Caenorhabditis elegans: one gene and its partner. The protein of the gene in region 2 interacts with the protein of the main gene of each other region in a pairwise test. Each region holds a gene or a part of one and is shown on either strand. Other genes may lie near its edges.

The links.
Region 1: the proteins of nhr-66 (region 2) and K03B8.4 interact in a two-hybrid assay, tested with the Caenorhabditis elegans proteins (one large-scale study listed by BioGRID).

Annotation. Positions count from the first base shown.
Region 1 is NC_003283.11:11,394,264-11,397,264, forward strand, and holds K03B8.4 (uncharacterized protein), read right to left. Parts: upstream 862-3,001; coding exon 752-861; intron 704-751; coding exon 523-703; downstream 1-522. Other genes in the region: Zinc metalloproteinase nas-18, read left to right, coding at 2,171-2,335, 2,734-3,001.
Region 2 is NC_003282.8:8,233,538-8,238,676, forward strand, and holds the start of nhr-66 (Nuclear hormone receptor family member nhr-66), read right to left. Parts: upstream 3,046-5,139; 5' UTR 3,041-3,045; coding exon 2,972-3,040; intron 2,667-2,971; coding exon 2,498-2,666; intron 2,373-2,497; coding exon 2,288-2,372; intron 1,478-2,287; exon of another isoform or gene 1-1,477. UniProt on the Caenorhabditis elegans protein: Transcription factor. Binds to regulatory elements and regulates transcription of target genes, including the potassium channel accessory subunit mps-2. Negatively regulates transcription of mps-2, thereby modulating age-dependent memory decline.

The DNA of each region.
Region 1 (3,001 bases), on a different chromosome or scaffold from region 2:
TGTCTCGCGATCTAGTCGCACAATTTTCGCGCGCCGAGCGCATTTCTTTCGCACACACTACGCGCCCGGTTCGATTTTATTCTCGCTCCCGCCGATTTTCATATTGAAATTGAAATCTTAGATTAATAAGAATTGCATTTATTACAACAACGAACAATGGAAAAACAATTAAAAAATAAATTAACAGATTGAAGACAGCTTGGCTGCAGGCCAATTGATCCCTAGACGGCGGGAGACTGGTGTTGCTGATCATCATCCTCTCTGAAAAGCTCAAATTAATCTATTTAATTAAGTCAGTATATTGAAAAAATCAATGAAATATCTTTAAAAATAGACTTACACAATTATGCCCGTGAAACGGCAACTAGAGCAACCTATTGCTTCAAAAATGTTTTGATCAAAAGCTACGTATTTGCAAATATGTAGCTTCGCATCTTCAAAGCTCAAAAATAGTCTCATCAATTTTTTGTTACTTAATTTAATTCAAAGTTATCATTTCATGGTTTCCTATATGTCATTTTGTTATTCGTTTAATATTTTACATTGTTTTACTAGCTGGTTTTCTTTAGCAATAATTCGTTTTTTCTTTACCTGTTTTGAGTCCACATACTTCTTCTTTTTTGGCAATGGAGCCTTAATTTGATCGAACACCAAGATTTGCTCCAATTCATGTCGCTTCTGGTTCACCTTTTGGAACATGTATCTGAAAAAAAACTTTTTAATTTCTAGAACCCCCGAAAAACATTAATACCTTTGAACTCCTTCCTCTGTTTCAGGTCTCACGTAGGATTCAGCGAATCTTTCGGCTTCAAGATCCCCGCTCAGCTCGTTCATAGTCTTCAGGTCCGAATTCTGGCTCATCACCCAGCTTTTGATGAATTCTGCGGGCTCGGTGTAGAATCTTGCGTAGAAATCGCGGCGAGCCTTCAGTTCGTTGATCTGTTCGATAATATCATAACACTTTTGATCAAGAGTTATATCATTCCATAAATCACTTTCATTAATCTCATTCTATTCACTCTGGAATAGCAGGAGCCGCAGGCTGCTCATCGAGAAGTGGTGTTTCTCGAACATAAGCCAATTTTGGACGGATTGTCGTTCGTGTTGCGCGAACGGGGCGCGGAAGGGGTGCGGAAGGAGTGCGGAATGGGCGCGGATGGGGCGCGGTCAGAACGCGGACGGCGTGCAAAAACAGTTTCTCTTCGCGAACCTGTTACTTTCAGACAGCCTCATTGCCAAAACAGGTTGATATATATATATATATATATATATATATATATATATATATATATATATATATATATATATATATATCTCTTCACTTATATGTTATATATGTATGAATGATGTAGTTGATATATAATAATTGCCAATCTAGTCTCTTTCAGCTTTCAGTAATATGGTGCCACAATACTAAACGTATAAAATACAACAACGAGACATGTGATCTAGAAAATTAGTTTGAAGATGTTCACACAAACTACACATATCTTTTATATCTTTCTATTGGAAAATATACCTGGCATTTAGGGGCAACTTTCTTAGGAATGTGTGCATCGTGCCTCCACAATGCCAATGCTGCGAGTTTCCTAATGGAGACATTCTCAAGACATCGCCTTAACTTTATCTGCATAGGTAAAATGAACATATTTTATAACGTAACATCATTAGATAACAGTACGATTATTGATAGATTTTAATACAATTTCCTTGTAAGATGAACCATATTGTTCTCTTCTAACCTCATATCAGAATTTAAATTGAAGTTTTGGTTTTTCAGTAACTAGCATGGCTGCAAAACGTTTACAATTAACGTATAGAACAAACACAATTCACTTTTGTGTGAAAATATGTCTCAAAGCAATAATATGTTCGCAAGAAATTGATTAATACATCTTATGTAGACACTTTGGCAGTTTCAGAATACTCTTTTCACAATCCGAGCGCGCCTGTTCCGCACTCCAGTCACGCCCTATCCTCGCGCCAGGCGCATTTCACCTCTTTTCGCGCGCCAGTCGCACCCCCTTCGCGCCCCAGGAGGAGCCAACTACCGAGTAGTGCAAAATTATTATATTGCTTTGATTCTTCATTCAGTAAGTTCTATTATATTTTGAAGTAGTGAAATACAACTTATAAACATGTACTTTGAGGTACTGAAAAGCGAGAATTGATGCTTTTCTCCATGAACTTCATATCTTCACAAACTTGCGTGACTTTTGAAGAAAACTGTTCAATTCCTAACAGGGTCCAACTTGTTAACGGTAAAGGCTGTTCATCATACATTGGGATGAATAACATAGTACAACATCTAACATTTAACGATACGTGCATAGACGTGAGTTTTTCTTTCATTTCGACATACATATGTATATTTCCGTTTCTCGGCGTTCACGACCAACTTAATGTTTATGTGTTGCCTTAACAGTGTGAAAAAAGTGGATTATTTTCTGGTAGTGGTGGGCATTTTCTAGAAACTGCAAACTATTTCCAACTAAATCAATCATTCATTTCAAGTGATTCAAGGAAAACGTATCACTTTATATTTGTTGAGGTCAAAAGTTAGACCAGAAGTTACCGGGAATGTCAAGATAATTGTAATGCATTGAAAATGTTTTTTTTTTTTGGAAAGTTTTCGATGACAGGTACAGAAAACAATTTTTCAAAACTCGAAAATTTTCCAAACACGGCACACCGAAAGAATGATAGACAGATCTCAATCACATAAACTTTCAGTTTGGAACTGCTGTTCATGAATTAATGCATGCATTAGGTGTTATTCACACCCACTCTAGACTTGATCGAGATAACTTTTTAAACATTAATCTGACAAATGTGTCCAAGGAAATGATGCATAATTATGCAATTTTCAACCAATCTACAAACGTTGTACCTTATGAATACGGAAGCACTATGCATTACTATGCGAATATATCGACAATGTTTCCCAAGAAGTCAGAATACTCTGCCACACTTGGAATAGGAAGAGTCACGTTTTATGATA
Region 2 (5,139 bases):
GACACTACGCACAGGAGTGAAGAAGAGTCCGTGAATACTTATTAGTTTGTAGGTCATTTCTACGAAAAAATACAAACGGTTGGCCACCTCGTGAACCCGATCTTTGTACAAGAAGTTAAAACAGTCGAAAGTCGATTTTTGCGTATGCACAAACGGTTGTTTATAGTATAAACACAAACTGATAACTCTAAGTCACCATTTTATCATGACTATTCGCTGAAATTGATCGTTTTGATCTAACGATCCGAATGATTACACGATGAACACCATTCAAAATAAAACTGGCGAAATTAATTTCAACTGCTTTGAAATGTGTAATTGTAGGCTTTCAGCAGATTTTAACAATCTAATGTAGATCACTTCAATATTCTAACACACTAGTCTCATTCAGCTTTTCCACTGAAGATCAACGAGATTTATAAGATATTCACATGACAGTTTCTGGACAATAGAACAAGTGATAACGTCTTTATTCTAGATGCCCGTAGTTTGTAGTCTTTAGAGTTTGTCAAATAGATGTTGAACATTTAATAGGGCGAAATGGGGATCATCGGAACAATAATCGAAAGCAAACGGCTGTCAACTTGAATAGAAATATTTTGGCAATAAGCCAGGTTCTAAAGTACGACAAAAGCCTGCTAGTTCCATTTTGGAATCAACACGATCCTGATCTATGCATTTCTTTTTGAAAAAATCTTTATATAAACATCGAAATGATGATAGAAAATGTTGTAGGCCAACACCGATAACACATGAGTTTGTGGTATTTTGCAAGCAGGCAGGCGCACGAAAGAAAAACCGCAAAAAGCGATGATAAACCGGAAAGTTTCCGGTGATGGGGTATTGAGTTTGCTATAGCACACAGTTTTCTGTTTTCCCGAAACACAAACACGTGGCGCTTTTGGATGTTGAAGTGTGCGCTAGCGAAAGAAAAGAAAGGAGAAATACGTAAAATGATACATTGAGCCTTTGAACTTTCTCGTTGTGTGTGGTTCTCTGTGGTTTTTTTCCTTGCAGAAAAAGAGACGAGACTCATCAACGCAAAAGTTCTCATGCAGTCTGGGAATTTCAAATTATGCAGTTAAGCACAAGATGGGTCAGAGGAGGAAAGCTTTAGTAAAGAGAAAGTCGACGAGTTGGTAATGAGACGAGAGTTTCCACCTGTTTCGGATATACGGAAGAGGCAAAGAAGTAATAACGGAGAGCCGGCTAGCTTGGAAGGAATTATAAACGGAGCCGATCTACCAAGGCGGGTTATTTCTGACCCCTTCAATTTTCCTCCTATTATCGGTTTGTTTTGAAGCGCATCTGCTGTCATTGAGCGCTGCAAAGCTGTTTCGATGGTCAGGCGGAACGGACAATTGGGGATGGATGAAGGACTTCGGGCTTTAAACGATGGACGGAAGACCTAACAATTTGGTGTTCGACTTTTTATATAATAGCTTGATTAAGTTGCTATATAAATCCGTTAAAACTTGAATATAATGTTGCACCACTTGTTCCCGTTGATCTTATAATTGAAAAATCACATCGACTAATTTAGAAATCATAGAAAAGTGAGTTGCAAATTGTAAAATAGAGCTGCTTCAGGTGCACATATAAACTTCAGTCTAGTCGAGAAAAGATGATTACAATGAAGCTTTCTTACAACAAGTATCTCTGGAACGTTGCAGCACAGAAATCCCTTCATTTCTACACATTTCAACGACAGGAGCATGCCAGTCAGCTGTACTCTGCACCTTTCTCCCACACTCTCCACTACTCATGTGTCATGCAACATACAACGGATCTTTGTTTCAATGCTCTTTTACTTGCATTTCCGTTGTCGCGCATGCACATTTATATATATATATGAGAAGTCTGCTCCCAATGACAAGGGCAACCAACTAAAATTATGAAGGATTATTTGACTTTGTTCTTTGATTTTGAGTTTCTTTATTCTAAACTTATGAATTAGCAATGTACTCTATGTCTCTTCTGTATGTAACATCACATTTTTTAAGAAAATAGCGCTGCTCAGCTTGATTAGATTTATCAGACACTCCAGCGTTGTCAAGCAGAAATCAGACAGATGAAAAGTACAAAGTCACAGAGCAGGAGGAAAGATATGGATCAAAGCACAAGACTTTGAGCGAAGATAATAATGAAAGATCAAAATTCAAATTTAATTCGGAAGGTTCAACTTTTTGATTATTTCTTTTTGAATTCCAATTGCAATTTTTTTTCCATACAAAAAACTGCCTATTTTCGGCAAAATTTTGAATTTTCAAAAGAAAAAAAAACTCACGGTAATAAGTTGAATCCGTCCAGTCTAGCGAACTGTAGTAGAAGTTCTGGAGGCAACGATGTCAACGAACCAAGCCCAGTGAGTCCTTAAAACGAGCATGATTGATTAATATTTCAGAGAAAACAACAATTGTTTACGCGAACTACGACTCAATTTCTCCCGCGCATTTCTCCCCCATTTTTCTTGATTGACAATAACAATCTACCGTACCGATTTGTGGAGTCATTGTCGCTGTGAGAATTGGCGTCTGGGATTTCCCGGAGGCCAACGAACCGATGATCGGTGTCGAATTCTGGATGTCAAGACATGATGTTGATGTTGTTGCGGGGGTTGAGAGAATTCCTCGAGCGATATTGATCAAGTCGACTTGAGATTTTAACTGAAAATAAAATATTTTATTGAATTAATTATTAAATTTCATGAATTCTTCAAAGAAACAAGTTTTTCGACTAAAAAAAATACAATTTGTGCGCGCAGGGAACCACAAAAAAGAAACAATTTGTTGAAGAAAATGGTTCAAAGGAAGGCTTGGTCTCGCAACGATTTACCTGCGTTGTGCCAGAGACTACGATACAATTTAAAAAATCAATTTTTTTATTGTAAGCATAAAATTTTATAGAATTCTATTTAATATTAATAGGAAATTTGATATTAAACTTTATAAAATTCAATTTTTATGCAAACCTGTGTCATTCCTTGCCACACCGACGATGCTGATGTTGTCGTCGCTGTGGGCTCATTGATTGGCGGCATTCCATAGAAGATGTCTGAAAGAAATCTGAAAATAGTTGACGTTTCTAATTTTATTAATTCGAAACAAAATTGCGATCAGAATAATGAATAAATTGAGCTCAACAGAGAGCAGGCGAGCACAAGTCGAGTTCTCAAAAAAGAGGCGGGCTGAAGTTTGCTCGCGAGAGCTTTGTAACAAGAGCAAGGTAACCGGAAGGCCATCGAGGAACGAGGAAAATTAGAATACTGAACTGACAAAAGGACCTTGAAAATTGAAAGTATGAGAAAATGGGCGGGGCCGCCGGCAGGAGACACGTGAAAGATCAGCAGAAAAAGGACGGATTGAACGAGAAATCAAATGCGCCAATCTAATGGATTCGCTTTTATTCTTTATCTGTATATATGTATGAGATGTTGTGACGACGACACCATCGGGACAAAAATAATCTTAGAAAACAAAAATTTTCAGCAATTTTTCGCTAATAGTAAATTTTAAAAGGTATTTTTTTAAGAACGTAACATGTTTTTGAAGATGTTGAAATAAATAAATTGATAAAAATTGTAGAAACGTTTTTCACGAAAAATTATCTCATTTCACGAAAGCTTACAGGCTTTTCGAAATGCTTTTCGCTGGAAAAAATTTGCTACCGAAGAATACAGCAAGTGCGCTCTGGTGAAATCCATTTGTGCGCGAAGTTTGAAATTATTTCTACAGTAAGATGAAATCAGAGAAATCACAGTTGTCGAACATTTGTAATACACGATCGTCGCATTATTTGTGGTTTATGGAGCCTCAAAAGAGAATTCAACAGTAAAAATGTGCATTATCGCCACAAATGGAAAACGCGCCTCGATATACGATATTCTGCAGCTAATCACACAAAAATCGGGTGGATATTATACGCAGTCACGAGGGATGTGCAGCATACCGTCCGTTCTGATGCTCAGCAGTGTGCATACAAAAGGGGCTCGAGATGGGATATGTGCACAGCTTCTCGCATAATAACTTTAAAACAGACTACATTTTGGCTATTGTTAGAGATTTTAGAGAAGAACAAAAAATATGAAAATTCGAGAAATCAGGCATTGTGGGTAAATAATTATAACTATAGTCGAAATGAAAAAATGTTTTTATTTTCTGTTATGCTTCAGCTGTTCATCGTTTGATTTTTCTCATAAGACTTTCTCTCATAAGAAGTTGAAAAATTCAAATGTTAGAAATACATTCGTGTCTAGATATTTGTAGACATGTCGCGTTGTTAGGCTCACTGAACACGTGCAAATTTAGCGAATATTATGAAAATTTTCGTAGTGTAGCAGAAAACATTTAAAAATCAAAATTTTCCGAGAAGCACATTAAAAAAGAATACAAATGTGTTCTTTCAAGTATTTGACAGCTTTCGTTTAGGGATTCATTCAAGTCAGCAGCAAGATTTCGGACTTCATGCCTACCTGCCTAGAAGTCATGGATTCAATCCATAAAACAGTGCGTAAATGGCAGGTGCACTTTTTCTGGTATAACTAAATAAACATGAATTGAAATGTTACTGTAATTTGCTTGCTGATATTTGAAGACGTTCATTTAAATGTACTTGAAAGCATTATCAATTGGGAAATAGTTTAAAAAAAAATTTTTTTGCAGTTTTTGCAACCAAAAGTGTAGATGCTCGTTTATCTTAATGACGCGAGTTTGAGTTTGAGAGTTGAGTCTCGCTCGAAATCCGGAAAATAAAAATAAAAAATCAATTATCGCCTTCATTTTGATTATTGGTTTCAATTTAAAACATAGGAAGTAGTTATCTTTGGTCCAAGCCTTTTGTTTATAATTGATTTGAACATGAACAATTGAAAACTTTCTATTAAAAATCAATTCAAGTATCCAACAAAATTTCCTACAATATTCGAAAAAAGAGGCATCATACTGTATAAAATTCGCTTTCATCATAAAAAACAAAAATGGGACAAACGGTTGGTAGCAAGCAAGAGACGGTTTTGTATTTGAAACGAATCATGACGAATCAAGAAAACCAAACGAGAAAAAACAAAAGACAATGTCAATTGTACGGTTTTAAGAAAGTGATTCAGAAGGATTCGTAAAAACATAAAATCTTGAATTTTTG